Linked DNA regions of Lonchura striata. The protein of the gene in region 2 purifies or fractionates together with the protein of the main gene of each other region. This does not show direct contact. Links are inferred from orthologs where the notes say so. Each region holds a gene or a part of one and is shown on either strand. Other genes may lie near its edges.

Region 1 (15,757 bases), on a different chromosome or scaffold from region 2:
CTTATGAGAAGAACACCCGAAAATCCTGCCGGGATGTAATCCCTTTTAGTAGGAGAACAAAGAAAGGGAACAGGAATTCTGACCTCCTTTGGGGGAACAGTGATGGGCCACCTCACCCTTCTGAGTACAGACCATTTTACAGTAACTCCAGCACCACCCACAGGTAACACCTCTGACTGAACAGTTCATCTCTGGAACAAAATAATAGAACTGGCACTCTCGTGGCTCTTGCCTTTGTTAATGCCTGGGTACAGGACTGTCTGGTGGCATCTTAGAGCTCTTCTCAAGGAATACCACTCAGGGATGCTTTTCTAGTACCAGCACTGTACAAGCATAAAGTACCAGCTGTACTGGCACAAAGAGCTTATGGACACAGTCACCACTGCTAAATGTCTTTATTGAGTGTCTTGAACTACATTTCCCCCAGAGGTCATCCCCTGATATCCAACTTGCAAATGGAATTAGAGGCCTTCTTCTTGTTAAAACTGTCCACAGCACCAAGGCTTCCACTGTCACCACCAGAAATAAGCCATGTTTCCTGTGGCACCCTCAGGCCTCTATTGAAGAACCCAAAACATGCCTTTTTCAGGGTATTTCCATGTAATTCCCAACTCCTCCACCCTTCTTCCACACTGACTGCAAAATACCCCAAGTACTGTAGGAGCCAAGTAAGAAACCACCATCAGCAAGTTCTTCAGGCACTGTCTGAAGAGCAGCTTTCACCAGGGCATAATGAACTTTTGGATTCAGGGCACCTTTAGCACACAAACCATTGGTAGGCTCCTTTACCTCGAATATTTCTACATCACTGGTGGTTTGGACATTTTCAGCAGTGAAATGGGTTCTAGATGAGGCTCTGGAACCCTCACATCTTCCCAAAGCTACATGACACTTCCTGGTCTGTAAAGTTTGCATTTCCATCTTCTCAGGTGGAACAGGTTTGGCCCTTCCAAGCTCTTTGTGCAGTGATACCCACCCCTGAACAATGTTTTCAGCCAAACACGTTTTCACTGCATCCACAGACAACTCCCATGATCCCTCAACTGAAGGCTTTTACAAGCTGGATCAAAATTCTACGTAACTTCTTACAACTGAAATCTGGGGAAGACTCAGTAGCTCTTCAATTCTCTTGCTCTCTCCATCTCTGGTCTTCCCTGGGCATTGCTTTCTGTTTGGCCTAAGATTTCAGTCATACTGAGCCTGGATTGCCTAAGGAGAGAAGAGAGAGTGAAAAGCAATTTAATGCCTGCATTCTCCTGACAGAGACATGAGTGCAGAATCCAAGCTCTTGAAAATTTCTTCTAGAACTAGTGAGTTTCAGTAATTCACATGACCAGTGTCATGACCTTTTTTCCCACAAGCCTTCAGCTATCCTCCTTTCCTCACTTTAATAGGGATGGAAAGAAGGCAGCAATAAAGGAAAAGACCGGGAAGACTAAATCAGCATTTCTAAGACTGGTATGTGAACAACACCAACAACCAAGAGAAGAACTGAGGTTTAGAAAACCTAGTGTGTCATGGTTTCTCTAAATGTTTGAACCCACAGGCCCAGATACCCTCGCAGTCCACGACTGAAGGGACAGAGCTGCTCCTCACCACTCTGCCAGCTTCTGCTCATGCAGCTCCCTGCGCTCACGACTCCTCTTCTCCTGCAAGGTCTCACCAGCCAAGCCATACATGGCCATGAGGAGGCCTCCTGCAGGAACCCTGAAGGAGGAAGCAGAGAAATCACCAGTCACCCAGGGGACACACAACAGCAATAACTTACTGGCATCAGCAGAAAGAGCAAGCAGGGGCCTAAAACTCACATCACACCACAAACTAAGGTACTCCTGTTCTCCTGTCACCCACCAAGAACAGCCTTTCTTCAGCTGTGACCCACCAGAGCCCTGCTGATAGCATATTTTGAATTTACTCATTGACAGGCACACACAGGACAAAGGAGTGGAAGGATTTATGGTTCCCAGTGCAGACCCTGTAGAACACCTAAACCATATCTCAGACAGTGACACCCCTGCTCAGCTTCCATCCAGTTCTGGAAGTACTTGTGTTCTCACTGGTAAAGCTCCCTAGGCTGCTTTCTGGCATGCTCACAGCTGACACCATCCTGATGGTGCCAAGCAGCACAAATAACTCATTCTCTTTTTCAGGTAGGATCCTCAGATTTACTTGTGAGGATATTTACAGGTCAGAACTTTGAGAAGAAATCCCAGTCCTGCTTGAAAAGTCAGATTTCTTCTGAGTTAGAGGTCTAGAAGCACAGAGCCTCTGAAACAGAACCTTGGGATCCTCCATGCCCCAGGAACTTCAGGAGATTCATGACTGCAAGACACACATGAAGACACACACAGAGACACGTGTCACCTTACAGCCCAGCCATGCATCTACTCCATCCCTACTCCCTGTTTCCTAATGGCTGCTACTTCCCATTTGAGCTTTGGTGGAGCTTATGTTGTTCCCTCTAATAAGCAAACAGCAGCAAATAAGATGGTCTGCTGAAAGGACTGAGCTCTCACTACTGAGAGAGCAGCAAAACACAAAACAAGAAACATAGAAGAAAAGAAGAACAATTAAAAGGTTGGGAGAAAAGTGATCACCATGAGGGATACAGAAAATCCCTCAAGGCAAGAGAAGAAGGGAAGCTCCTGTAGCCCCTCTGTGACTCCAGGCTCAGTGTGTGCAGCAGTCACAACTCACCCAAATGCTGTTCCAAACACGATGCCACCCACCAGGCCCTGCAGGCCCAAGTGCATCCTGAACAGGGCTCCTGTGAAGCCTAAAAGAAGAACAAACCCACTGAAACTAGAAACAGCCTTGCCACAGACATTCAAACCAACATAGGAAGTTGCTTTGTTGCATTTCTCTTCTCCACGAGCTGACAGCTGCTTTTAACAGAGCAGAAACCAAGTGCCATGGCCAGTGGGACAGACCTTCACCACACAGTCACCATGGTCTCTGCACTGAAACTGCACAAAGCTCCTTCTGCTTCAGAAAAACTGCCAAACTTTTTCCCATATCATAGATGTATCTATGAAAGTGAAACCAAGCTCTCTGTAGGCTGGAGCATGATCTCCCTCACCCTTTTTTCTGTTCAACAACAGCTAATAATAGCAGCTGCCATGTAAGGCAGAAAGGATCAGTAAAAAGTGTATCCAGCTGTACAGGCAATAAAGCCTGTAAAACTTAACAAGCAGATCACTTACCCTGTTGCCAAAAGTGGGCATGCAAAACTTAGCATAGAAAGGGCAGCCTATAAACAGTGTGCTGGATTGTTACCAAGAGTGGAAATAAAAAAGGCTTTCCCTGTTAAATAGGTGCTTATGTGAACAGGTTATGCACCAAGTGTTGCCTTTACCCCACAGAAGCATTTTTCACCCAAAATACTCCAGCAAGTATCTTGAAGATGAACTAAGAACCACAAAACTCCCCAATGGTTTCAGCAGTGCATCGGTATCTGTGTTACAAATAAAGGCACGCAGCAGGCAAACAACAGAGCAAAGTCAGTGGAACAAGCAGCAAAACCCAAGAGCACAGAAGCTGCTCAATCCCAAGGGATGTGGATACTTGCTTATGCTTTTCTGCTACAACCCTTGCTAACAAACAGGAGCACACAAGGTTACAGCACTCTTACCTCCTGCTGCAGCAAAATTACTGATGGTGGTTTTATCGCGGTACGCAGACAGGCCCGTGCTCACCACGCTGCAAAGGCAAGGCACAGAAGTCAGCAGTGCACATGGAAAAAGAGAGGTAGCAAAACACAGCCTGAAATAAAGCTGGATTTCGTTAAGCCAGCCCTCAGGTTGCCCATCTGTTCAGGGCACCCCACTCCAGCCATGACTTCTCTGACTTTACTGTGGGCAGCTGCACAGACACAGGTCAGGGAATATCAGAGTTCCTGAACTGGATCTGAGATACTCTTTCTTTTTTTTAATCAAAGATTTTTCTTTCCTATCATATAGAATCAAAGAATCAGAATGGTTTAGTTTGGACATGATGTTAAAGATCATCCAGTTCCAAGCCCTCACTGCAGGCAGGGGCACCTTCCACCTGGAGCAGGTTGCCCAGAGCTCCATTCAGCCTGGCCTTGAATACCTCCAGGGATGGGGCATCCACAGCTTCTCTGAACTACCTGTTCTACTGCCTAGGACCATGTAATACAGTCAAGGAGAAAAGAATTTGAGCAATGAAAAGGTCCCATCAGTCAGCCAGTCCTGATGTAGGACATTTACCCCAGAAGCTGCTCCATGTGTCAGTAAGATCCTGCCCTGTAAACAGTCCCCAATACAACAGCCTATGTCACACTCATGACATCAGCAGGGTCACCTACTCTTGTGGCATCAGATTTCCCTCTGGGGTAGGTAAACCAACTCCTCCTAAACATCAGCTAAGCCTCAAAACAGTCTGCTCTCAGTTCAGCAGCCACATACTCCCCAGCCTCCTGTGTGACATTGACAAGCCAGCAGCAATCCTCCTCTCCTTCCCAACACAGATAAACCCAAACATTTTGGGTTTTAATTGTGAAACTTAAAGTTTTCACAACTGCAGGATGGAATTTGCAACTTGGGCTTTACAGAAATGATGCTGAGCAGCAAATAGCTTTGTTCAGAACCTTTCCAAAGGGGCTGATCTGACTGCAGAGGAGACACCTGGTGGAAGACAACAAGGTAACATGTCAAACCCAAAGAAATCCAGAAAACCCAAAGAAATCAAGAGCTCCAGGAGAGAAAGCAAACAGCACACTAACTAAGCCTAAAAACAGATACTAAACTAAAAGGAGCCACAGACATCAAGAGACAGTGAGGAAGAAATTCAGAAAGGAACAAAAAAAAATTAGGGAGATAGAAATATAAAATCATGCCAGTCAATATTGTGGGATCTTAAAAGCAGAAGGAGAACTTAAACAGAACATATCTGCAGAGAGAGTCAATGCAGGTTTAAATTTACAAATTTAGTAGTCTGAACAACAGGGAAGGAGATATTTCTAGTTTAAAAGGGCTTTGCTCAGAAGACGACACTTAGTTTGATGTTCTACTGCCAGAAATGCACTGCAACATCCAAGGAAGAAAATCAGGGAAGCAGAACACTCTCTGCATTGGCTTTGTGTGTGTAGAAAAATCCTGAAGGCCTAACAGGTACATAGAAGCAGTAGATCTGATATTCAGCAACTGCTCAAGAACAAGACAATCCCCTGCAAATGCCTGAGGACAAGAACAAAGAATTGTAACACCAGTGTATACAAAGTAGTAGTAGTGACAATTGTGAGTACCACCAGCGTATACAAACCAGGAGCAATGAGACATTGTAGGAAGGACAAAAATCAGTGTGGGTTAGAAAGCACTTCCAAAAACTGCCAACACACTTTAACACTCCCTCAGATTAAAAGCACATAAAGAGATGAAGGAAAAGCAGAAAGCAGCTGTCAAGAAAGAAAAGCATGCAACTCAGTAACAGATGTACAAAAAGGGCTTTTCCACATTTCAGATTTGTGTTGATTCATTAGAAGATGAGAATTCTGAGGCAATTCTAAAAGGTTAAACTCTCTTCATGCTCCTGCCTGATCAACCAGACTCAGGTCAAGGTAACAGCAGGAGCCTCAATCAAAGGCCAGAGCTGTGGGCACTGCTGGCAGGGACAAGGACAAGGACAAGGACAAGCACCAGCACAGGGCAGCTCTGCTGCCCCACATCAGGGAACACTCACTTGAACATGGTGGCGAAAGCCGCGACCCTCCAGCTCCAGCGCCAGCCGTAGCGGATGAAGCTGCGGAGACCAGCGCGGTGTGCAGATTGCTGAGGGGACAGAGAGGACATGTCACAGCTAACAGCCCCTCCTCCTGCCAGCACCCTGCAGGCCAGCCCAGGGGACCAATGTCTCCTGCCGCTGGTACCCCAGCTCCGATCAAGTCAGCCACCTTTGGAGGAAAAGCTGCTCCCAGCCACCAACGGGAAAACCAAGAATCAGTTCCAGTTTGGAATGTCAACTGGTCTTTCTAATCCTGCTGCTGAAACACGTCTGGGTGGACTGGGAGGGCTCTTCAAGGACAGGACAGCAGCAGAGGAGAAAGAGAAAAACTAGAAACTACTTCATATAGAAAGTAGTTTCTACAATAGTAGTAAGTAAATAATAACCATCTGCGTTAAATATTAAGGTATCATCAAGCTCTGCAGTTTAACACTGGCACTTAAAAGTTTGGAAAGAAGAGTTTTTTTTAAAATAAGTGGTAAACAGAGGCTTCATAAAATTTAAAAATGTTGCACTGAATACCATGAAAGTAAATAAATTTTCTCTTCCAGTGTTTGTGGTGTAGGTTCTTAGCCTGGGTCAGATATACCAGTCACCAGAGCGGAGCCAGGCAGTGGCAATTTGCAGGTCACCACATCAGAGGCCAAATTTTGTAAGTAATACAAAATTAACATCAGGCAGATTTTTAAAAAGGTTTTCTTCCTCATATTCCACGTAACCAACACTTTAATTGAATAACAAACACCTAGAAGTTCAAATACATCTACAAAATGTCACAAGTGTTCTTTGTTGTGCTGTTCTTCTAAAAGAATTTTAAATGGTCTAAAAATGACTCACATTAATAAGACAAGAGTACAATCCCAGTTTGATACTGTGAAGTCTCCTGTCAGCAGACTAAAACGCAAAAGCAGAAAGCCATTTCGAGACGTATTAATCAGCCACTTAAGAGAATGGTAAACTTTGTTACCAACCTTCCCTGTGATGAACGACGCTTTTCTGAAGCTAATTTGCAATTTGGCTAACGGGGAACCCTAATTCCTGCTAATTCCCGCAGCGGATGACCTGCACGGACTCACACACTCCCAGCAAACTTTCTGTGCCAGACCCGCACACGCGTCCCCCCGGCCCGAGCCCGGCCCCGGCCCCGCCCGAGCCCGGCACCGCCGTGCGCCCCGGCCGCAGCCCCGGGCCCGTACCACGGCATCGGCGCGGTTCTGGAACATCTCGCCGTGGCTGCTCTCGATGAAGGCCTTGCGGGCGCTGACGAAGGCGGGCAGCCCCCCGTACAGCCAGCCCACCACGCCCGCCGTGAACGCCGCCTTGGCGATGTTCACCGTCTCCTCCGGCAACTGCTGCCGCTCGCTGCAAGGCAAGGGCGGCGATGGGCGCGGGGTGGGCACGGCGGGACCGCCACCACCCAGCCCCGCCCGTCCCGCCCCGTCCCGCCCGAGCCCGGCCCGGCGCTCACTCTCGCCGCCAGAGCTCGCGGAGCCGCTCCCAGCCCGTCTGCGGCAGCGGCGCGGGGCCGAAGCCCGCCCGGGCTCCGGGCAGATCCGCCATGGCCGAGCCCGCGGCGGCGGCGGCAGCGCCCCCTGCGCCCCGGCGGGGCACTGCGAGGACGGCTCGGGACCGCTCGGAACCGCTCGGAACGGCTCGGAACAGCTCGGGACCGCTCGGAACGGCTCGGCTCTGCGTTAGTCACTGATGAACAACTCCGAGTGTTTGCCCCTTTGTGCAGGGCCGGGTTTGTTCCCCACAGCGAGAGAGGAGCTGAGTTCTGGGGGCTGTGGTGCCCGGTTTGCATAGGACAGAGGGGGAGCAACCCCCGGGCAAAGCCTGCGTGGAGAGATGGCGCCACTCATGGGGCTCACTGCCTTTCCTGAAACACCTCTGTTGTGAATTCTTCCTTTCACCAAAGAAGTGAAAGCTCCCCACCAGGAGAGGTGCCTGGGCCTTCCCACCGGGCTTGTGCATATTTTAACCCATGATTCTTGAATTCCCGGGATTCTTCCCCCACTCCTGAAGAATCATCACTTTGGCCAAGGGCCACCTAAGCTGCAACAATCAAGTGTCATCGCAAGATCTATGGGTGGAAAAGCTGGGGCTCTGCAGACCTCCTATCACTCTTCTGATGAAGAAAATGCATCCAACAAAACTTCATTTTTTGTTTTATTCCAAAAAGCCCTTCATTACAAATGGTTTTAAAATATCATACAGAGATGTTCGGTTTCTTGGAGTGCTGTCTCTCTGTTGGCTAAAAATAGAAAACCAGAAAACCCCTTCCACTCTGGCACAACTTTCCTGGGAAACCAGGTTAATGCCCCATTCTGTTTCCTTTGCTGGATGAAATAACCCCAGCACTGGTCCCAAAACCAACACACTGCCCCAGCAACCAGCACTTGATCAATAGTGCAGCTGCTATGTCCCTGTGCCAGGGCTGCAAGGCCTCTGCGAGGGCACACATTAAATGTTATTGTTCCATGCAATTTCCTTCTTCCCTGATACACACTGACTGCAGAGGGCCTGAGAGCTGTTGCTATCATCCTCTTCCATTATAATGTGCTGCTCTCTCAGCCTTGAGGCTGCTTTACCAACAAGGAGGCTCCCCTGGGAGGCTCCTGTGTCCCTCCTGGCACCCCACACTCTTCCTGTCTGGGTGCCAGAGAAGATGCTGCTGCCTCCAGCCTCTTATCTTAGGGGGCACAGAGCATTTCAGGAATTGCAGTCCTTAGCCAAGAGGCTGTGGTGGGCATAAACACAGCGAGCACAATCAGCCTGTGAGCAACTCAAAATGGGTAATGTGAGCAGTAGCTGCTACTGTGTGACTGAAGACATTCCCTCAACCAGGCTGAAGGAGATGAAAAAAGAAGTGGCACAGATGTGGGGAAGAAAAGCAAGTAGTAAAGTGAGCAGATGTATTACCAGTCTCAAAAAAAAAAAGGCCACCCCCCCCCCAAAAAAAAAACAAAAACAAAAAAAAAAAACCAAACCAAAAAAAAAAAAACAAACACTTAAAATAATCCTGGAAAGATTACAGAAGGGGATCAGAGCAGACTCTGCACTTCTGGAAAAAGGAAGTGCTGAATCTACCTCAGTGAATACTTTCTCTGGGTTCCTAAGGATGACATCCCAGGATGTCTGGCCAGGCAGCTGGTGAGAGATAATTAACAGGGGCTCAGTTGTGCAGGGCTGTGCAGGCACCCAGCTCATCTGCTGGAGGAAGAATCTCTGTCTCAGTTGCCAAGCACATCACTGGTGATGGCCCCATCACCACCGTATGCTGATCCCCTGTGAGGTAGGTAGGGTAACTCTGCAAGGATCAGTTATCCTCCAAGGGCATGTCAAAACCTTACCATCGACCTCTAAAACCCAACATAAACCCTAAGCTACCCAGAAAGTTATATAGCCCCAAATCCCAGTACCTGCGTTTGTCAGAGAACACCTAATACCCCAAGTGCTATCACCCAGCTGAGAAAACATTTGCCAAACAAAGGGGCAAGTATTTACTAGCTGAGTGCAGCTCAGCCTGTGTCCTTTGCCATGACCTTTGGTAATAAGTCCACTAAGGCTTCTCATCGACTGAATGGGATTTAGGATCATTTTGAGACAGGTAGTAACTAAGTCCTAAATGCTAACATCCCTCCTCTAGGCATGACTGACCACCCCATTAGTCTTAATCCAATATGCTGCTTAACATTCTTGAGGTGACAATATAACCAGGTCCCAGTGCAGTTCTACTGTGAAAGGTAAGTCTGAGAGAGCAAGAAATAATACTGATCTTCAGATTTCCACAGTGACCAGTTTGAGCCAGAGAGAAAAACAGAGAAGTCTCTACAGTTCTGTTTTCAGCTGTCCAGAAGTGATCTCGCTGTAGCTTTTCCTCCTTTTCACTTTGTAAGTCAAGATCTGGGAATATTCAGACAGCAGATGCTCCCAGTAGCAAGAGATGTCCTCCATCTCCAAGTGCTCAGTGATGAACTGACGTCCCCTAGAGACACACAAGTCACAGTCAGGACTGTTTTCCAGTTCCTACAAGAGTCATTAGTTTTGGTTTGGATGTATATCAACTTTCGCATTTCCTTGTTTCAAATGAGAAACAACACACACTGCTCTGTACTGTCTGTTTTAATTTTACAATTTTCATTCATGCTCACAGCTCTGACGGCTGCAGTGCTTTTGCTATCCTCAGGACGGTATTTGCTATCTGGGATAATAAATATCAGATTCCACTTATCACATGCAACTAGAGCAGCCCTGATGCATGCTGCTTCAGAGCAGCCTGGATAGATAATGTTTACAGCGCAGACACAGCTCCCAGGAGCCAGCTTGTGTCATACTGAGATGAAAGCTCCCAACCTCTGCCAGCTTTCCATGGGGTTCCTGACATGGGTCACATGTGAACTGAAGAGCTAAGCACAGCATCCTGCTCTCTGCTTCCCTCTGCTTGCTATCACTGCTCCAGCCCTCCTACTCTTATTGCAGAAGATCAGTTATACTGCACCCTACTAATACTGGTTGTCTTTGATGGGCAACCCCTTCAAAAGCAGTGTAAGACAATGTTTTAGAAGAAGACTGCCTAATAGCCAGGAAGCACATACTGCTTACCTCTCTGAAATTTCTTGTGCTATGGCATCGTTTTCCTTTACAAACTGCAAGAGCTCCCTAAAATGAAGACACATACACAGAAAAAAAAAAAAAAAGCTATGAAACAACTGGCTCAGTGGAGAACATAATCCCTTAGCTAAATTGTTGGGGAGGGTGAGGTTAAGAGTCTACAAGTGAGTGAAAGAGCTGCTCACCTCAGCACAGAAGCAACTTCTCTGCTTGATTGTTTCACATCACTTCTGGACAACTTCCTGAAATCTGGGAGCTAACACATTTTTGGCCCACTGGTTAAGTTCTTCTCCCCCCTTATCACTGTTGCCCACTTGCAAATTTAAGTGTCTAGTGCCTGCTGATTTCAGTGAGAGTGAGAATCTTACTCCAGTGTAACTGCACTCCCCAAATCAGCAAAGGATTCTCTGGGGGTAGTGATGAAAAGACCATGACCTCCAAAAATCTTTGCCTGATGCCTCAGAGTGGAGGCACTTCATGGCCTAACACAAACCATCCCACCTTCCCAAAGGCTTCCCCATGGTATGCAATGCTCCATGCAGTGGCCTCAGGCCCCACACCTGACGTCAGAGAGGTCTGACCGCACCGGGATGTAGTGGAGCCAAGGCTTCAGCTGGGGGTAGAAGAACTCCAACCACTCCTCTCCGACATGGAAGACGAGTGAGCCGCACAGGAAAAGGTGCTTCAAGCGGAAACTGGCCGCCACTCCCCGGAAATTAAACAGGTACCTTTGAAAGGAAGAGCAAAGAGAGGGACCTGATCACACATCCTGTGTGAGGAAATGCACTAAGGTGTGCTGGTCTCCAAGGAGCGGTGAACCTTCCCTGACAGGCAGCAGCTGAGCAGCACACCAGTCACTAAAACAGAGGAAAGGCATTTATTTGAAGCTGCTCACAGGAAAGGTGAGCTGAAGTTAAGGGTGTGCTGGGTGAGTTTCTGCTGTCAAAACTCACTGAGAAATTCAAGGTGTGAGGCTTTACCTCTGATAAAGGCACTGTCTGTGACAAACCAATGAGGCCTTGTGGACAATTGCCAGCAAAGCATGGAAGATCACAATATGGATTCCGTGACCCTATGGGGTCACTCAGAGGCTTTATCAACCACAAGGAAATTCTTTCCAATTCTCTCTTGCCTTTCAGTGAAGTTTTTCTGTTCATCATTGTGCTTTGCCACATCTATCTCAGGTTATTTTTTCCTCTGGGATTCTGCTTTAATCTGAATGTAATTGTTTCATAGTAACTTGGGAATGCAACCATAGGAGGTTAAATGGGCCAGCATACAACAGATGGACTTTGCAGATAACGAAGAATCCAAAAGTTTGTTTTCAGTATTTTCTGCCAAGTTAGAAAAGTGGGCTTGACTGTGGCAAGGGGGTATTTCTCTTAGCAAACTGTATCTCATAGGGATGTTTCTTTGCTTACTTGTTTTCTTGATCAAACCCACATTTCTTCTATTATATAGAAAGCTGTTTTTCCTACGGGTAAACCTCCCCAGAACATATACTGATCTTTGAAGTTAAACATTTTGAGCCGGGGGAAGAGAGTTCTTCCTTTAATGAAGCTATTTTGGGTGGAGCTTATATATTAGATATATTTAGGGCAAGATGGGAATTACAGCTAAACTTAGCACAGCAGTAAATAACAAGGAGTAAATCTGAAATTACTTTGCATCCTTTGTACTACCTAGGATTTCAAAACAAGGACAAGGAGCACACTGTATTAGGAACTCAACAAATACATGTAGAGATGCAACAAGAATGATGGCCTGGAAGCAAGCAATTACCTTTGCCCAATTCCAGACACAGCTCCCACCATCCATGACCTCAGCCAAGCCAGCCTGCTGTAACACCTACACTGAAAGCAGCAGACAAAAGTTGGTGTTGACCCTACCTCCCTGAGCTACAACAAAAGTGTGTGAGAAGGTCTCAGCCTACACCATATGATGGGCTGGGGAGCGACAGAGTTGGGCGGTGTACGTGTAACAGAAGGGAGAAATCTGTGCTACAGTCTAGTGAAATACAAAATAAGACAAGTCAATCACATTTGCACAAAAACACAGATTCAGCCAAATGACTGAGCTCTTATATCAGCAGATCCTGGCTGGCTGAATGACAACTAGCAGAAGAAAAAGCAAAACATCTTATACACAAGTGCACACACACTAAGAGTTTATATTGTAAATGGAAACCTGTAAGTGTTACACCAAAAAACCCTCATTAAGTAGTTAAAGAATAAAAACCTTTGTAAATCAAAACCACATTCTCCTAAACAACATAAAAAGTATGAATTAATACTAGGTGTGCTCAATCAGATTTCAGGTTCTCTCTTTTACTATATACACCCAGTGGCAGCACTTGTCATGCTAAACTCACAAATTTTCAACTGTCTTATATCTGCTCACAAGCTTTCATATCTACATGAAGCTGGTTGTTGAATTAGACCTTAAAATAAAATGAGACCCTATACCATGCAAGGAAAGACTAACCCACAGCCCTTGAAAAGCTTTACTAATCAAAACTCTTACTTGTATTTGCAGTGATCAACCAGTGGAATTTCCTTTGCAGGAGGCTTTCCTAAGGTATCCTTAAAATAAAGAGAAATTAAAACCAAAACAAAACAGTAAGCTTCAAATAATGATTTAACTTGTTTTCCTTCTCAGTTAGAAACAAAGGTGATGTGTCAAAACCTTCCATTCCCACTTCTGAGAAAACCTTCTCTGGTGGGCTGTTAGAAGGATTATAAAGAATTCCCAGCCCTTCAAACATGAAAAAAAGCTCAGTAAATTACACACTGCCTGTAAGTGAATGCCAGCACAAACACATTAAATGATAATGTTTTGTTGGCAGCTACAGAGTGGAAAACAGCTTGGGACAATGAACTGTGTGAAGCCAAGTGTAACTGGATTAGCCAAGACTGTCTGGAGAGAGCTGGACTGTAGACTAAGTAAGAAACGAAAAAGTTATCAGCAACAGTTATCACAAAGTTATCCACAATGAGATCAAGAAATGGAGAAAACAGAAAAAGGCTTGAAGACTGACAACACCAGAGAGGCGGCTCAGAGACAGAAGGGGAAGGGTTGGCCAATTTTGTTGTTGTGGGAGAGGAGGAGATTGGCAGAGATTCATTTTCTTATGTGTTTTCCTTTCCTTGAACAACAAGCATGGAAGGAAGTGTTTGGCCTGCCAGGCTCTAGAGACTCTTTTCTTTCATCTGTTAGAGGTGCAGCCATCAAGGAACTACAAACCTCCCCCACTCTAAAGGATCACCCACAACTCTCCAACAAGATGTTTGTCTCCCATCAAAGCCATCTTGCAATGCCACCTTTTCTGGCCTTCACACTCAGAAGACAGACTAACACCCACACACCTTTTCAGATTTCCAAGCCTGGTTTTTAGTGTACTCAGCATCAACAAGTTCTGGGTTTTCTCGGGACAGCAGGATGAGGGGATCTCTCTCAGGGCTTGTTCTGAAAAAGAAACGTTATCACTACTTGCTAATCCCCATGACTCAACACAGCTAACAGACTACAGGACTTGAGGCACTGCTTCTTTCTGAGGCTGACCTCCCTGTGTGCCCCCAAAACACTATGAAGTGTGTACCACAGTGTATTTCTGCCCAAGGGTATATTAACAGAAGAAAATGAGTTATGGGTACCAGAAGTATTTGACTGACTACATATTTAACAGTATTATTTAAACAATTCCCAAGACAAATCCTGCTTCCTTTATCCTGAAGGGTGCCAAATACTCTGACTCCCACCTAAGTCAGAGAGAGTTAAGAGATGCTCAGTATCTTCAGCAGTGATCCCTCTAACAGGACTTTAAAACACTGCTGATAAACAAGGTTATTACATCCTTGTGAGACATTCCCCATCACCTGCTGAGCCTACCTGGAAAGCCACCAAATCCTTCCCTATTGGGGAAGGGGAAGAAACAAAGTGTGGAGCTTAGCATTGTTTCAAACTACCACTGGAGAAAGGTCAAAAAAAATATTCTCTTATCTCCCACTACTTGGGTAACTTAGGGCCAGAATACTTTTCATTCAGTGTGGAGCACTGGCAGAGCAAATAAAGCATTCATATTGGCAGGATGCATGAATAGCAATACTAAATCTTTAAATTTGTATCAAGCACCTGCAGTTCCCTTCACAGAACAAAACAAGTGGGCTCCTGAGGTGACAGTTTTAGTCATTAAGAAATAATGTGGCAAATCTATCACAACTTCTGTTTCCAGTATTAGGTGATTAAAATAAACTAGTTGCAAATGGCAGTTCTTCTGGAGAATAACTAATAGTGCAATACTGTATAACATGTCTCACTTTCCTTACTTTTGGAAAATACACTGTGAGGTGCACTTAATTAGAGTTTAGGTCTAGGAGACATGGAAATTTCTACATATAGAGAGCTGTCACAGCCCCTGTTGGTAGAATCTTCTGTTGCAGGAAAAAAATGCTCACCTGGATCCTCGGAAATATCCCTTAGAGATTTTTTTCTTCCATGGCCATTTTTCTGCAGATCTGAAAATATTTTTTATACATGGTAATAAATTATTTAATATAACCATGAAACAACACTCTCATCAGCTTTCACAGCATGATGTCTTCTTCTATTCTTCATTTTTGATGGAAATAACTTTCTTCATTATAGCACACAAAAACTCTCAGCCAGGTCCAATGAAACAGGTTTTCCTGTAAATATTGTGTTTCAGGCAACCTAATACAGACTACTTTCCAGAACACCTTTCAGGCAAAACAATGTATTACACACAGCTCCCTACCAAACCTTGAAGAGTATTAAAAGTTTACCTAATCCACTTCTTGTGCTGTGGCTTTATTTTGCTATAGTTCACTGAATATGGATAGTGAAAAAATGACTACAGAGTTTCTAATCAGTCATTTCCCACTACAAAACAAAAACTACCAATCAAGAAACAAAAAACACACGTAGTGTTTTGCACTTAAAGCACAAGAGTTCATTGTTTTTATTATTCACTTTCATTTTAAATCAAATCAAGTCCTTCAAGATAGCTGTTCACCTAGGGTTTTTTTCTGCCAGTGCAGTCACCTGCCTCACCACTTCTCAGGGGAACTCTGCCATATTTTTCTACTGCACCTGGTGGAACATGCAGGTCCTTACCCTCAAGCTGATCTGCCTGTGCAGGTCAAGTTTTGCTTTTCCTTATAGTGAAAACACAAGCTTTGCACCTCCATTACACTACAACACATTAAGCTTTAGCTATGAATAATCATGTGGATCTTCAGATTTTGAAGAATGAAAGATTCAACCTTGCATTTGGACGTCAATTACATAGAAGTATTTTATTGATATTTTGTTTCTGTGTTCACTCACTGTTGCATACTTGCTTTGTCACTTTCCATGGGAATCAGCCCCTTACTCTGCTAAT
Region 2 (16,441 bases):
CTCCCCGGTTCCCTCCCGGTTCCCACGCTTCTCCCCGCTTCCTCGCCGGTTCCCCGCGGTCCTCGCCGGTTCCCCGCGGTCCTCCCGGGTTCTTTCTCGGTCCCCCGTGGTTCTCCCCAGTTCTCCCCGTTCCTCCCTGGTTCCCTCCCGGTCCCCCCCGCGATTCTCCCCGGTTCCCTCCCGGTTCCCGCGGTCCTCCCCGGTTCCCCGCGGTTCTCCCCGGTCCCCCGGCGCTCACCCGCGCCGCCCGGCGCGCTGTCCCCGCTCCAGCCCCAGCAGGTACGCCGCCAGCTTGGCGTCGCTCCATCCGCTGCGGCGCCGCAGCTCCACCCAGGGCCCGTGCGCCTCTCCCAGGTACACCCGCCGCACGTCGTACTTCTTGCGCGACTCCAGGCGCCGCCGGGCGCGGTCGGTGTCGGTGAGGCGCGGCCGGCCCCGCGTCCTGCGGCCCCCGCCGGGCTCGGGAGCCGCGGGAGCCCCGGGCCCACCGGGAGCCCCGGGCCCGCCGGCGCCGCGCTCGGCCGCGCTCATGCCGCGGCGCGCCGCGATGACGTCAGCGGAGCGCGCCGCGGCGTCGCGGCGCTCAGTGCGCATGCGCGGCGCGGCCTGCCCGTACTCCCGCCCGCCCTGGGGTTTTTGGGTTCTTTTTTGGGGTCTTTTTTTTTGAGTTTGGCTTTTTTTGGTGGGTTGTTTTTCTTGTTTTTTGTTGTTTTGTTTTGTTTGGGTTTTTTTGTTTTGGTTTTTTTGGGGCATTTTTTGGAGGGGTCCCGAGGAGAAAAAGGGGAGACCCCCCCAGAAAAGGGGAGATCCCCCCCAAAAAGGGACAATCCCCCCCAAAAAAAGGGGAGATCCTACCCAAAAAAGGGGAGATCCCCCCAAAAAGGGGCAATCCCCCCAAAAAAGGGGAGATCCTACCCAAAAAAATGGGAGATCCTACCCAAAAAAGTGGAGATCCCCTCCAAAAAAAGGGGAGACCCGCCCAAAAAAGAGGAGACCCGCCCAAAAAAAGGGATTCCCGGAATTTCCCAGCCCTGCCCGGTACCCCCCCAGGTGTGGGGTGTGGAGGTGCCGTGCATGAGGGACCCCCAAAACCTACCAGGGAACCCCCCAAATGCCCCCCAAACTCAGCTGGGACCCCTCCAGGGATGCCCAGAACCCACCAGGGACCCCCAAACTCACCAAAGACCCCCCCCAGGGAACCCCCAGAACCCACTGAGGACCCCCCAAGGGACCCTCAGAACCCCCAAAAGCCGCCCAAACTCACCGGGGACCCCCCAAAAGCCCCCCAGACTCCCCCAGAACCAACTGGGCCTCGCTGCTGAGGGGGGCAACGCCCTCCCAGCACCCCCAACCTTCCCCATGACCCCCCAAAATCCTCCCGGCCACCACCACGTTTTGGGGACCCCCAAAAAAAACAGGACACCCCCCCAAAAAAACCACGAAACCCAGCCCAAAAACCATGATACCTCCAAAAAAACCACAAAACCCCTAAAAAAACCACATCCCCCCAAAAAAACATGAAAGCCCCCAAAAAACCATGACAACCCCCAAAAAAACCCATGATACCCCAAAAAAAACCACGCCACCACCCCTAAAACCACAACGCCCCCAAAAAAAGCCACAATACCCCCCTAAAAACCACGCCACCCCCCAAAAAACCACGACACCCCCAAAAAAACCCACGACATCCCAAAAAAAAATGAAAACCCCAAAATCCACTACACCCCCCGAAAAAAACCACGAAACCCCCCCAAAAAGCCACAACACCCTCCAAAAAAACTACAACACCCCCCCAAAAAAACACGAAACCACCCCAAAAACCACCCAAAAAACCTGCAAACCCCCCAAAAAAACCAGGACACCCCCAAAAAACAACGGCACCCGCACTCCGTCCGTCCATCCTTTATTCCCCGGCGCTCCTCGGGGGCTCACCCCCATCCTCGGGGGGCTCCAGCGCCGCGGCCCCGGGGGTCCCCGCGCCCAGCCGGGGGGCGGGGGTCCCTCGGGGGGCTCGGCCCCGCTCCCGGTGAGGCGGAAGAGCACCGGGACCCGGCCCAGGGCAGGATTGTGCCGCTGCAGCGCCGCCAGCCACCGGCCCAGCGTGCGCCGGTCCCCCGCGCCCGCCACGCACAGCGCCAGCACCGGGCCCTCCTCCACTGCGGACAGCGGGGTCAGGGGGAGCCCCGAAAAATCCTCCCGCGACCCCCCAAAATCCCCCCGGGGCTCACCTCTGTCCACCTGGAAATCCTCGTCGTCCCAGGGGCCGCGCTCCAGCTCCAGCTCCAGGCGCAGCGGGAAGTAAAAACTGCGCTCGGGGTCCGGCGGGGGGTCCTGGGGGTTTGGGGAGGGGGTTTTGGGGGGTTTTTTGGGGGGTTTGGGGTCGTCTTCCCACGCAGGTCATGGAGGGGCCCCGGGTGTGTTGGGTTTTGGGGGGCCCGTCCTACCTGTCCTGGAGTTCCCCAGGAGCCCCCCAGGAACTCCCAGTAACCCCCAGAGCCCCTCGGGAACCCCCAGAGCCCCCGGGAACCCCCCAAAAACCCCCAGGACCCCCCAAAACCCCCCACTACCCCCTCATGACCCTCCAGAGCCCCCCCAGAACCCCGCAGAACCCCCCAGAACCTTCCAGGACCCCCCAGAACCCCCTCAGGACCCTCCAGAGCCACTCCAGAGGCCCCCCAGGACCCCCCAAAACCCCCCACTACCCCCTCAGGTCCCTCCAGAACCCCCCAGAACCTCCCAGGACCCCCCAGAACCCCCTCAGGACCCTCCAGAGCCACTCCAGAGGCCCCCCAGGACCCCCCAAAACCCCCTCACGACCCCCCAAAACCCCCCAGGACCCTCCAGAGGCCCCCCAGGACCCCCCAAAACCCCCCGGACCCCCTCAGGACCCTCCAGAGCCCCCCCAGAACCCCACAGGACCCCCCAAAACCCCCTCAGGACCCCCCAGAGCCCCCTCACGACCCCCCAAAACCCCCTCAGGACCCCACAAACCCTTCAGGACCTCCTCAGGACCCTCCAGGGCCCCCCCAGAGCCCCCTCAGGACTCCCTCAGGGTCCCCCAAAACCCCCGAAGTACCCCCGAGGAGCCCCCCAGGACCCCCGACGAGCCCCTCAGGATCCCCCAGAACCCCCCAGGACCCTCCAGAACCCCCTCAGGAACCCCCAGAGCCCCCCAGGACCCCCCGGGCCCCCCGGCTGACCCTGAGGTGGGGGGGCAGGGGGTCTCCCCGCAGCACAAAGTATTTGAGGAGGGTCCCGCGGAGCCAGAGCGGGAACGGCCCCTCCACGAACACCGGGCGGGTGGGGCCGTGCCGGGCCAGCAGCTCCCGCTGCTCGGGGCTCTGCGAGCCTGGGGACACGGGGACACGGCTGGGGACACGGGGACATGGCTGGGGACACGGCTGGGGACACGGGGATACGGCTGGGGACACGGGGGGACGGCTGGGGACACGGCTGGGGACACGGGGGACACGGGGACACGGCTGGGGACACGGGGACATGGCTGGGGACACAGGGACATGGCTGGGGACACGGGGGACACGGGGGCACGGCTGGGGACACGGGGGACGGCTGGGGACACGGCTGGGGACACGGGGGCACGGCTGGGGACACGGCTGGGGACACGGCTGGGGACACGGCTGGGGACACGGGGGCACGGCTGGGGACACAGGGGACACGGGGGCACGGCTGGGGACACGGGGACATGGCTGGGGACACGGCTGGGGACACGGGGATACGGCTGGGGACACGGGGACACGGCTGGGGACACGGGGGGACGGCTGGGGACACGGGGGACACGGGGGACAGCCCACCCCACAGTCTGGCACCCCAAACCCTGCCCCACACAACCCCAAACCCACCCCAGGGACCTCAGACCCAACCTAGGCACCCTAAACCCTCCCCCAAACCCCTCATAGAAACCCCCAGGGACCCCAAACCCTGCCTCAAACCCACCCCAGGGACCTCAGACCCACCCCAGGGACCCCAGACTCTGCCCCACACCCACCCCAGGAACCCCACACCCACCCCAGGAATCCCAAATCCTTCACAGAGACCCCTGAGGAGCCCCACACCCACCCCAGGCACCCCAAACCCACCCCAGGAACCCCAACCCCCTCAAACCCAACACCAACCCCCCGTCCAGGGCACCCCAACATCCCCCCAGGCCCCTCGAGACCCCCGGAGCTCACTGAGGATGTAGGGCTGGACGGAGCCTTCATCGTCCCCCGACTCCGGCACCGGCCGCTGCGGGACGGGGACAGGGGGTCACTGCAGGGCCACCCCTGTCCCCCCACCCTGTCCCCATGTCCCCTGTGTCCCCAGTCCTGTCCCTGTCACCCCAGTCCTGTCCCTGTCCCCTCAGCCGTGTCCCTGTACCCCCTGCCCCCCAAGCCGTGTCCCCCCATGTCCCCAGCCCTGTCCCCCCAGCTGTGTCCCTGTCCTCCCTGTCCCCCCAGCCCCATCCCCCCGTGTCCCCAGCCCTGTCCCTGTCCTCCCCTGTCCCCCCAGCCATGTCCCCATGTCCCCAGCCCTGTCCCCTTGTCCCCCGTGTCTCCAGCCCTGTCCCCAGCCCTGTCCCCAGTGTCCCCCAACCCTGTCCCCAGTATCCCCAGCTGTGTCCCCCCATGTCCCCAGCCTTGTCCCCGTGTCCCCAGCCCTGTCCCAGTGTCCCCAGTGTCCCCAGCCCTGTCCCCATGTCCCCAATGTCCCCAGCCCTGTCCCAATGTCCCCAATGTCCCCAGCCCTGTCCCAGTGTCCCCAGTGTCCCCAGCCCTGTCACAGTGTCCCCAGTGTCCCCAGCCCTGTCCCCATGTCCCCAATGTCCCCAGCCCTGTCCCCAGCCCTGTCCCCAGTGTCCCCCAACCCTGTCCCCAGTGTCCCCAGCCGTGTCCCCCCATGTCCCCAGCCCTGTCTCCATCCCCCAGCCCTGTCCCCGTGTCCCCAGTGTACCCAATGTCCCCAGTGTCCCCAGCCGTGTCCCCAGCCCTGTCCCCAGTGTCCCCAGCCCTGTCCCCAGTATCCCCAGCCGTGTCCCCAGTATCCCCAGCCCTGTCCCCCCAGTGTCCCCAGCCCTGTCCCAGTGTCCCCAGCCGTGTCCCCGTGTCCCCAGCCGTGTCCCCAGCCCACCTGGACGAGGGTGACGGTGGCGCCGGGCTCGGTGGCGATGCGCTGCAGCCCGAGGCGCGCGGCCGCCAGCCCGGGGCGCAGCCGGGGCGGCAGCGGGTGGGGGTCCAGGTGCCGCAGGCGCGGCAGCCAGAACTGCATCCGCTGCAGCTTCCGCAGCGGGCGGCTGCGCGGCCCGAACACCCCCAGCAGCAGGAAGCGCGTCTCGGCGTCGGGCATCACGCCTGGGGACAGGGGACACGGGGACATTGGGGACACGGGGACAGCGGGGACACATTGGGGCATGGGGGGCATTGGATATTGGGGACAGCAGAGAAATTGGGGACACACTGGGGACATTGGGGACAGGAGGGACATTGGGGTGACAGCAGCAGGATGTGCGTCTCAGCGTTGGGCATCACGCCTGGGGACAGGGGACAGCAGGGACGTTGGGGACACGGGGACAGTGGGGACATTGGGGACACTGGGGACATGGAGACAGTGCGGAAACATTGGGGACACTGAGGACAGCAGGGCATTGGGGCATGGGGGGCATTGGGGACACTCTGGGGACATTGGGGTGACAGCAGCAGGAAGCGCGTCTCGGCGTCGGGTATCACGCCTGGGGACAGTGGGGACACCATGTGAGGGACACCAGGGGACACCGGGGCACACCACACAAGTGACACCGGGGCACACTGGGGCACACCAGGCACACCACACCAGTCACACCAGGGCACACCGGGACACACCGGGGCACACCGGGACACACCGGGGCACACCGGGGCACACCAGGCACACCACACCAGTCACACCAGGGCACACCGGGACACACCAGGACACACCGGGGCACACCGGGACACACCGGGGCACACCGGGGCACACCAGGCACACCACACCAGTCACACCAGGGCACACCGGGACACACCGGGGCACACTGGGACACACCACGAGTGACACCAGGACACACCGGGACACACCAGGACACACCACACAAGTCACACCAGGGCACAACAGGACACACCAGGACACACCGGGACACACCAGGACACACCGGGGCACACCGGGGCACACCACACGAGTGACACCAGGACACACCGGGGCAGACCAGGACACACCAGGACACACCAGGACACACTGGGACACACTGGGACACACTGGGACACAGCAGGACACACCGGGGCACACCACACGAGTGACACCAGGACACACTGGGGCAGACCAGGACACACCAGGACACACTGGGACACAGCAGGACACACCGAGGCACACCGGGGCACACCAGGACACACCGGGGCACACCACACGAGTGACACCAGGACACACCGGGACACACCAGGACACACCGGGGCACACTGGGGCACACCACACGAGTGACACCGGGACACACCGGGACACACCGGGGCACACCAGCACGCACCGTGGCGCTCCATGCACTCGAGCAGGCGCAGGCCGCACTCCTGCTGCCGCGGGAAGGGGAAGAGCAGGCGCTGCACGGCTCCGCGCGGCACCCAGGCCCCGCGCGGCAGCAGCCGCAGCAGCGCCTTGTAGGCGGCCAGGCTGCGCCCGGCCCCGCGCGCCGGCAGCGCCGCCAGCGCCGCCTCCACCAGCGCCAGCCGGCCACCGCGCCCCGGCGGGCTCCGCGCCAGCTCCTCCAGCGCCGCCGTGAACGCCGCGCCGGGGTCGCCGGGGTCGCCGGGGTCGCCGTGGGCATCACGGTCACCGGCGGCGTCGCCGTGGGCGTCCTCGCGGCGCGATCTGTAGGAGCGCAGGTGGCGCAGAGGGGCCTTGGGGGTGGCACCCCCTGAGGTGGCGCCCCCTGAAGTGGCACCCCAGGTGTCACCTGTTGAGGTGTCACCCCCTGAGGTGTCACCCCTCGAGGTGTCACCCCATGAAGTGTCACCCCTTGAGGTGGCTCTCCCTGAGGTGGCACCCCCTGAAGTGTCACCCCAGGTGTCACCTGTTGAGGTGGCACCCCTTGAGGTGTCACCCCTTGAGGTGGCACCCCCTAAGGTGGCACCCCCTGAGGTGTCACTCCTTGAAGTGTCACCCCAGAAGGTGTCACCCCTTGAGGTGGTTCTCCCTGAGGTGTCACCCCCTGAGGTGTCACCCCACAAGGTGTCACCCCCTGAGGTGTCACCCCCCACGGGGCTCTGGGGGTGGCCCCGGGGCTGGGGGTCGTTCTCCCAGATCTTGTGGAAGCGGCGATGCCACTCTGAGGTCCTCGGGGTGTCACCCCCCGAGGTGCCACCCCCCGAGGTGTCACCCCCCGAGGTGTCACCCCCAGAGGTGTCACCCCCAGAGGTGCCACCCTCCGCGGGGGGCACACGTGCAGGGCGCTGGCACAAGCTCCGGCACAGCTGGGGAGGAAAAAAGGGGTCACCCCACAGCTGTCCCCATGTCCCCCCATTGTCCCCATGTCCCCATTGTCCCCCCGTGTCCCCATGTCCCCCCATGGCCCCATGTCCCCCCATTGTCCCCGTGTCCCCCCATTGTCCCCCCGTGTCCCCATGTCCCCCCATTGTCCCCATGTCCCCCCATGTCCCCCATTGTCCCCATGTCCCCATTTCTCCCCGTGTCCCCCGTGTCCCCCCATGGCCCCATGTCCCCCCATTGTCCCCATGTCCCCCCATGTCCCCCATTGTCCCCATGTCCCCCCGTGTCCCCCCATGTCCCCATGTCCCCATGTCCCCCCGTGTCTTCCCGTGTCCCCCGTGTCCCCCCATGGCCCCATGTCCCCCCATTGTCCCCATGTCCCCCCATGTCCCCCATTGTCCCCATGTCCCCCCGTGTCCCCCCATGTCCCCATGTCCCCCCGTGTCCCCCCATTGTCCCCATGTCCCCCGTTTCCCCCTGTCCCCACCGCCCCCCCCGTCCCCTCTGTCCCGGTGTTCCCGGTGTCCCCCGCACCTGCGGCGCTGCGGGGCCGCCCCAGAGGCGGCGGGGCAGGGCCCGGAGCCATCCCGGCCGCATGGCGCCCGCTGCCGCCGTGTCCGCTCACGGTGGGACCGTGTCCGCTCCCGGTCCGGCCGTGTCCGCTCCCGCTCGGGCCGTGTCCGCTCACGGTGGGGTCGTGCCCGCTCCCGCTCGGTCGTGTCCGCTTCCGCTCGGGCCGTGTCCGCTCACGGTGGGGTCGTGCCCGCTCCCGCTCGGGTTCCGCTGTGTCCGCTCCCGCTCGGGCCGTGTCCGCTCACGCCCGGGCCGTGCCCGCTCCCGGTCCGGCTCCGCCGTCCCCGTGCCCGGTCGCGCCGCTGGGCGCCGCCATCTTCGCGGTGACCGCGCGCGGCCGGGTCAGGGGGCGGGGCCTGCGGGCGCGGCCAATCGGCGCGCGGCTTCGCGGTGATTGGCAGGCAGCGAGGGGCGGGGCTCGGAGGGGGTTCCCCCGTGACGTCAGAGCGGGACCCCGGGATGAGCGCGGGGACGGGCGGTGACGTCACGGGGGTGAGCGATGACGTCAGAGCGGGTGAACGGGAACGGCAGCCCCGGCGGGGTGGGGGGGGGTCCCCAAGTCCCCGTGGGGGGGTCCCGGGTGCTCCCCCAGCCCCGGGGGGGTCCCGGAGCCGCGGGGGGGGCGGGACGGCCCGGGTGGGGGAGGGGAGGGGAGGGGGACGGGAGGGGGAGGGGGACATTCCCCACCCGTGACGAGCCGTGTCCTCCCCCGGGGGGGCGGCGGAGTCCGATCCGGTGACGGCACCGAGCGGGGGGGGGGCGCGGCGGGGTCGGGCCGCGCTGTCCCGGGGGTCCCGCGGCACCGGGGGGGTCCCGGTGAGCGGGGAAGAGGCCCCCGGTGCCCCGGGGGGGATCCCCAGGCACCGTGGGGGAGCCCCGGTGCCCCCCGGGGGTCCCCGCTCCGGTGGGACCGGGGGGGACACGGGTGTCCGGTGGGAGGGGGCAGAGCGGGCAAGCGCTGATTTGGGGCGGGGGGGGCGTTCCGGGATTCCCCCGCCCCCCCGGCCCCCCCCCCCCAGCTCCGGGATCCCCCCCGGTAAATGTGGAAAAAGTGACGCCATCACCCGCCCCGCCGTGACGTCAGCGCGGCGGAGGCCGCGGATTGGCTGCGGCCGCCCCGGCCCGGGGGGGCTCCGCGCCCACCGCCCACTTTTAAAAGTGGCGGCGGCGCCGGGACGGGACCGGGAGGAACCGACCGAGGGCACCGAGCCGACCCGAGGGCACCGACCCCACCCGGGACAGCCCCGAACCCACCCGGGACAGCCCCGAACCGGCGCCACCCGCCCGCCGCGACCCCACCGGAGCCACCGAGACCCCCCCGGGACCCCCGAAATGTCCAACGCGCACTTCAACCGCGGCCCGGCCTACGGGCTCTCGGCCGAGGTGAAGAACAAGGTGAGCGGCACCGAACCGAACCGAACCGAGCCGAACCGGGGGGGTCCGGGCGGCTCCGGGCAGGTGCGACCCCCCCGGGGCGGCGGCAGCACCGGGCCCGGGCAGGGGTCGCGGCAGGACCCGGCGGGAGCGCGGGCGGGACCCGGCGCTGTCCCTGGTGCTGCCCCGGGAGGGAAGGGACGGACACCGGGACAGGGGGGCGGCACCGGCGTGTCCCCCCCGGGGGTCGTACCGAGCGCCGCTTCACCGGGGGTGCGGCTGGGCTGCCCGGGGAGCTCCGCACTCCCCGTTCCCTCCGGGAAGCGGGAGGTGACCGGCACCGGGTGCCCGGCGGGGGTGAGGGAGGGGAGGGGAGGGGGCGACACCGGGGCTCCCCGCCGTGAGCACCGGGGGGTCCCGCCGTGAGCACCGGGGGGTCCTGCCGGGCACCGGGCCGTTCAGGGTTAACCGGGAGCGGGGGGGGGGGTTGGTCTCCGCAGCCCCCGGTCCCCTCGGCGGGCGGGAGGTGACGGGCACCGGGTGCGCCCCGGGACGGGGGACGGGGACGGCGGCACCGGGGAGCACCGGGGGCTCCCGCCGGTGTGCGGCCCGTTAAGGGTTAACCCGGAGTGGGCTCGGCGGACCGGGGGAGCCCCGCCGACCGCCGAGCCCGCGGCGGGCGGGAGGTGACGGTCACCGAGCTGAAGCGGCGGCGACACCGGAACCCCCACCGGGACTGAGGAGGCCACGGGGCGACACCGGAACGGAGCGGGCGGACCCCGGGACGCCCCCCACGAGCACCGGGTGGCGTCCCGCCGGTGTCCGCCCCGTTAAGGGTTAACGGGGGCGGTTCGGGTGGCCCGGGGGGGCCCCGCGGCGGGCGGGAGATACCGGACACGGCGGGGGGATGGACACGGCGGGGGGGGGGTCCCGCCGCGCACCGGCCCGTTAAGGGTTAACGGGGGGGGATCGGCGGCCCGGGGGGGGCCCGGCGGCCCCCGGCCCCGCCGTGAGCCCTTATAAGGCGGCGGAGCGCGGCGGGCGGGCGGCGGCGGCCCCGGGCCGGGGCTATATATGGGCAAAGGTTCGGCCGGCCCGGTCGCCCGCGGCTCCCGGGGGGGCCGGGCGGGGCGGGGGGGGGTCCGGGCTCCCCCGGCCCTCCCGGCTCCCTCCGGCCCCGCGGGAACGGGGGAACCGGGGCCAGCGGGGATCCCGCGTCCCCAGTGCGGCCGCCGCCTCTTCCCTGAGGGTGTCCCCGCCTTGGGGTGTCCCCAGTGTCCCCTCCTTGGGGTGTCTCCAACGTCACATCCTTGGGGTGTCCCCACTGTCACCTCCTTAGGGTGTCCCCTCCTTGGGGTGTCCCCATTGTCCCTCCTTGGGGTGTCCCCACGTTCCCCGTCTGTGTCCCCGTGCCGGTGTCCCCGTGTCCCCCGCGGTGTCCCCGCACCCTCCGTGGCCTCGGCGCAATGTCCCCCGTGTCCCCTCGTCCCCGTGAGGGTGTCCCCGACATTCTCCGTGCCACCACGTCCCCCTGGCGGAGTCCCCCTGTCCCCCCGACGGTGTCCCCGTGTCCCGTGTCCCCTGTCCCCGTGTCCCCTGTCCCCATGTCCCGTGTCCCCGTGTCCCCATGTCCCGTGTCCCCCCGGCGGTGTCCCCATGTCCCGTGTCCCGTGTCCCCATGTCCCGTGTCCCCCCGGCGATGTCCCCATGTCCCGTGTCCCTGTCCCCGCAGCTGGCCCAGAAGTACGACCCGCAGCACGAGCGGGAGCTCCGTGCCTGGATCGAGGGGACCACGGGGCGCCGGATCGGGGACAACTTCATGGACGGGCTCAAGGACGGCGTCATCCTCTGCGAGTACGACCCCGTGCGACCCCCGGGACCCCGTGCGACCCCCGGGACCCCCACCGGGACCCCGTTCAACCCCCGGGACCCCGCTGGAACCCCCGGGACCCCGTGCGACCCCCGGGACCCCGCTGGGACCCCGGCTGTGTCCCCGGCTCTGTCCCCGCGGGCTGGGACCGGCCCCGGTCCGGAGGGTGAATTTTAACCCATTCCTCACCCGGGCTGACCCCGAGCCTGCTGAGCACAGCCCCCCAACCCCGCCGTGCCTGTCCCCCACACCCCGCTCCTGGCCGGGCTCTGGGGTCACCCAGGGGTCACCCAGGGGTCACCCAGGGGTCACCCCGGGGTCACTCTGGGGTCACCCCCTGACCCCACCCGTGCTCGGCCCCTCCAGGCTCATCAACAAACTGCAGCCGGGCTCGGTGCCCAAGGTGAACGAACCCGTCCAGAACTGGCACAAGGTGAGGGGACCCCCCAAAACCGGGGCTGGGGGCGGCTCTGGGGGGGAGGATCTGACCCCGAACCCCGCCCCGACTCCCCCCGCCCGCAGCTGGAGAACATCGGGAACTTCCTGAGGGCCATCACGCGCTACGGGGTGAAGCCCCACGACATCTTTGAGGCCAACGACCTCTTCGAGAACACCAACCACACCCAGGTCCAGTCCACGCTCATCGCCCTCGCCAGCCAGGTCAGCTCCCGGGGGTCCTGGGGGGGGCCGGGGGTCCGGGGGGCTCCTGGGGGTCCTCGTGTCCCCTCAGAGGACACCGGCCACACGCTGGGGGGGATCCAGAGCGGGGATTTGGGGTCTGGAGAGGAGATTTGGGGTCTGGGGAGGGGGTTTGGGGTCCAAGGAGGGGATTTGGGTCCAGGGAGGGTATTTGGGGTCTGAGAAGGGGATTTGGGGTCTAGAGAGGGGATTTGGGGTCCAAGGAGGGGATTTGGAGTCTGAGGGAAGAATCTGGGGTCCAGGGAGGGTATTTGCAGCCTGGGGAGGGGATTTGGGGTCCAGAAAGGGGATTTGGGGTCCAAGGAGGGGATTTGGGGTCTGGGGAAGGTGTTTGGGGTCCAGAGAGGGGATTTGGGGTCCAAGGAGGGGATTTGGAGTCTGGGGGAAGAATCTGGGGTCCAGGGAGGGGATTTGGGGTGTAGGGAAGGAATTTGGGGTCTGGGGAAGGAATTTGGAGTCCAAGGAGGGGATTTGGGGTCCGGGGAGTGGATTTGGGGTCCGGGGGTCCCCGTGAGGCCCCCCCCCAAGCCCACGGTCTCCGCCAGGCCAAGACAAAGGGGAACAAGGTGGGGCTGGGGGTGAAATACGCCGAGAAGCAGCAGCGGCGCTTCCACCCCGAGAAGCTGCGCGAGGGCAGGAACATCATCGGGCTGCAGGTGACACCCGGGGACGCTGGGGGGACACGGGGGGGGCGTGCTGGGGACAGCTGGTGACACCGTGGCCGTCGCTGTCCCCAGATGGGCACCAACAAGTTCGCCAGCCAGCAGGGCATGACGGCGTACGGGACACGGCGGCACCTGTACGACCCCAAACTGGGCACGGACCAGCCCCTGGACCAGGCCACCATCAGCCTCCAGATGGGCACCAACAAAGGCGCCAGCCAGGTGGGGACACGGGGACACTGCCAGCATGGGGGGACACGGGGACACTGCCACTCCATGGGGACACTGCCAGCATGGGGGACACGGGGACATGGGGACACTGCCACTCCACAGGGACACTGCCAGCATGGGGGGACATGGGGACATGGGGACACTGCCAGCACAGGGGACACTGCCACTCCATGGGGACACTGCCAGCACGGGGGACACGGGGACACTACCACTCCACGGGGACAGTGCCATCCTACAGGGACATTGCCACCATGGGGGGACACTGCCACCCCATGGGGACACTGCCACCCTACAGGGACATTGCCACCATGGGGGGACACTGCCACCGCATGGGGACACAGGGAGAGATGGCACCAGGGGACTTGGATGTCCCGGGTTAGGGGGACAAAGGGAGCGGAGAGCCCGCGGGCAGCGGGGACAGACAGAGCCGGGGACCCTGAGGTGCCACCGGCCCGGCCGGTGGCCCAGGCAGCCCCGGGGACAGCGGAGCAGGGGACAAAGGGGCTCTGAGGGGGGCACAGAGGGACTCTGGGGACAGGGAGGGGACAGACACCCTGCGGGCAGCACGGGGAGCAGAACGGAGGAACCCCCGAGCATCCCCCCACAGCCCCGGGGTGGCTGTGAGCCCCTCGGGGTGCCCGCGGCCACCGCCCGAGCCGGTCCCTGACCGGAGCCGGTTCCTGCCCCGAGCCCGTTCCTGACTGGAGCCAGTTCCTGCCCTGATCCCATCCCTGCCCCGAGCCCGTCCCCGTCCCGATCCCGTCCCTGCCCCGATCCCGTCCCTGCCCCGATCCCGTCCCTGACCGGAGCCCGTTCCCGCCGGCCAGGCGGGGATGACGGCGCCGGGGACGAAGCGGCAGATCTTCGAGCCGGCGCTGGGCATGGAGCACTGCGACACGCTGACCATCGGGCTGCAGATGGGCAGCAACAAGGGCGCCTCGCAGCAGGGCATGACGGTGTACGGCCTGCCGCGCCAGGTCTACGACCCCAAGTACTGCGGCGGCCCCGAGCTGCTGGGCCACGACGGCCTCGACGGCCACGACGGCCTCTACAACTCCCAGTAGCCGCCGGCCCGCGGCCGCTTGCACCCCAACACCGCTCGTCACCGGCCTCACCGCGCCCCGCCGAGCCGCCACCGGGGCTGGCACCGGGGGCACCGGCCCCGGGATCGGCTCCAGGATCGGCCCCGGGGGCACCGGCCCCGGGATCGGCTCCAGGATCGGCCCCGGGGAAACCAACCCCGGGATCGGCTCCAGGATCAGCCCCGGGGGAACCGGCCCCGGGGCTGGCACTGGGGGAAACCGGCCCCGGGATCAGCTCTGGGATCGATCTCAGGGGAAACCGGCACCGAAATCGGCCCTGGGGCTGGCACCGGGGGGACCGGCCCCGTGGCTAGCACTGAGGCTGGCACCGGGGGAAACCGGCCCTGGGATCGGCCCCGGGGTTGGCACTGGGGGAAACTGTCCCCGGGATCAGCTCTGGGATCGATCGCAGGGGAACCGACCCCGGGGCTGGCACCGGGGGGACCGGCCCCGGGGGAAACCGGCCCTGGAATCCACCCCAGAATCGATCTCAGGGGAAAACGGCCCCAGGATCGGCCCTGGGGGAAACCAGCCCCGGGATTGCCCCAGGGGAAACCGGCCCCGGGATTAATCCCAGGGGAAACCGGCCCCGGGATCGGCCCCGCGATGGCTCCCGGGGTGGGGGGGCAGCACTCGGCACCGGCCCCGGTGGGACAATCCCGGGACCGGCCCCGGGCGGGGCCAGGGCTGGGCTGGCCCCGGGTTCAGTCCCGGGATCACCCCCGGGTTTGGTCCCCGGTTCGGCCCCGGGGGGTTCGGGCCCCGCCACGTGTGAAGCCACCGAGGCACAATAAAAGCCACACGCAGAGGTGACAGCGCCGTGGGACCGTGCTGGGGGACACCGGGGGACACCGGGGGACACCGGGGGGACACCGGGGCGGCGGGGATGGGGTGGACAATGGGGGACAAAGGGACAGGGAGGACCAGGGCCACCACTCGGGGCATTTATTCCGGGGCCGCTGTCCCCAAACGCGTCGCCCCCCGCCCCGGTGTCCCCACGGGGACGAGGACAAGTGCCGGACGCGGGGGGAGGGGGGGATGCCACCCCCGCACCGGCTCCGGGGCTGTCACCGGGCCCGGGGGGGGGTCCCTGACCCCGCCGGGAGTTTGGGGAGCGGGCGGTGTCCCCGCCGCCCCCCCGGGGTCACTGGTTGGCGGCTTCGCAGGCGTCGATCCAGTCACTGTAAACGTCCACGGGCTCCGACAGGTCTGGCGGCGCCGTTAAGGCTCCAACACCGACTCGGGGGGTCCCGGAGGGGTCCCGGGGGTGTCCCGAGGGGGGTCCCGGTAAGGATACAGGTGATGGGGGTCTGGAACTCCTCCAGGCACACGGTGCACGAGATCACCCCGGTGTTCCGGGCGCGGTCCCTGCGAGGCACGGGACGGGCGTGACCCCTCCGGGCTCCGTCCCGATCCCCCCCGCCACACTCCCGGTGTCCCCTCGCCCGGTGTCCCCTCCGCGGTACCGGCACCCCCGCCCGGTGTCCTCGTCCATGTCTCCGCTCTCCGCTTCCCCCCCGGGTTTCTCCGTCGTTCTTCCCGCGCTGCCGCCCATCCCCGTGTCCCGTCCCCGGTGCCCCCCGGTGTCCCCCCGGTGCCCGGTGTCCCGCGCTCACATCTTGACGTCGCAGGACTTCTCGTGGTTGCAGAAGGGACACGTGAACTGCGTCTCCAGCGTCCCCGTCATCTTCTTCTTGGGCGGCGGCTTTCGCTTCGACTTGCGGCGGCCCATGGCGGCCGCACCGGAGCCCAGAACCGGGAACGGCCTCGGGAAGGGGAACCACACCGGGATCGGCCCCGGGAGCCGGCTCGGAGTGGCCCCGACCCGCTGCGGGACGTGCCGAGGACGGCTGGACCCTCCCCCGGTGCCCCCCGGTGCCCCCCGGTCCCTCCCGGTCCTCACGCCGCGCTCCCGCCGCGATCCCGGAAGTGCCGCCCCTCCGCCCTCAGCCAATCAGCGGCGGGAACGGCGCGCTCTTCCCCACGTGACCCGAAAACGCCCCGCTCATTGGTTGATAAGAACAGCGCCCCAGCCAATCACCAGCGGCGAACCGAGAGACTCTGTCCCGCCCACTCAGTGAGTGATGGACGCGCATTTCAGCCAATCAACGGGTGGGAGGCGTGGCCAGCCCTGCCGGACCCCGCCCATCGCGGTTTTGGGGTGAATCGCGGTGGTTTCGGGTCCGGCGGCGCCCTTCAAAGCCTTTATTGGCGGCACGGGGCAACCGGGCGGGGCCGGCGGGCAGTGTCCGGTCCCCGGTGTCCCCAAGGGGTCAGAGTTGACGGGATGTCCCCGAAGGCAGCGGTGCCGGTGTCCCCCGGGGGGACTCGGCGGTCTCGGGGCGTCCCCAGGGAGGGGTCCCGGTGTTCCCGATGTCCCCAGGGAACGGATCCCGGTGTCCCCGCGTCCCGCTGTCCTGGTGTCCCCACTGTCCCCGCTGTCCAGATGTCCCGCTCTCCGGGTGTCCCGC

Evidence for each region.
Region 1: the proteins of ECSIT (region 2) and TIMMDC1 purify together in Homo sapiens (affinity purification with mass spectrometry; 3 studies listed by BioGRID and IntAct, counting the BioPlex papers as one, with this or other methods). This does not show direct contact. The link is inferred for Lonchura striata from reciprocal best matches to the Homo sapiens genes ECSIT and TIMMDC1.

What each region holds. Positions count from the first base shown.
Region 1 is NC_134604.1:14,293,267-14,309,023, reverse strand, and holds TIMMDC1 (complex I assembly factor TIMMDC1, mitochondrial), read right to left. Parts: upstream 7,322-15,757; 5' UTR 7,303-7,321; coding exon 7,211-7,302; intron 7,105-7,210; coding exon 6,939-7,104; intron 5,790-6,938; coding exon 5,701-5,789; intron 3,700-5,700; coding exon 3,632-3,699; intron 2,777-3,631; coding exon 2,698-2,776; intron 1,708-2,697; coding exon 1,597-1,707; intron 1,210-1,596; coding exon 1,110-1,209; 3' UTR 380-1,109; downstream 1-379. Other genes in the region: POGLUT1 (protein O-glucosyltransferase 1), read right to left, coding at 9,574-9,730, 10,348-10,404, 10,917-11,084, 12,880-12,938, 13,722-13,821, 14,811-14,870.
Region 2 is NC_134623.1:1,327,519-1,343,959, reverse strand, and holds ECSIT (evolutionarily conserved signaling intermediate in Toll pathway, mitochondrial), read right to left. Parts: upstream 8,077-16,441; coding exon 8,014-8,076; intron 7,464-8,013; coding exon 7,244-7,463; intron 6,923-7,243; coding exon 6,524-6,922; intron 5,349-6,523; coding exon 5,128-5,348; intron 4,246-5,127; coding exon 4,191-4,245; intron 3,350-4,190; coding exon 3,201-3,349; intron 2,332-3,200; coding exon 2,229-2,331; intron 2,157-2,228; coding exon 1,780-2,156; downstream 1-1,779. Other genes in the region: ZNF653 (zinc finger protein 653), read right to left, coding at 239-531; CNN1 (calponin-1), read left to right, coding at 11,246-11,280, 11,663-11,729, 11,819-11,956, 12,541-12,651, 12,733-12,879, 13,716-13,952; ELOF1 (transcription elongation factor 1 homolog), read right to left, coding at 15,115-15,179, 15,268-15,338, 15,587-15,702.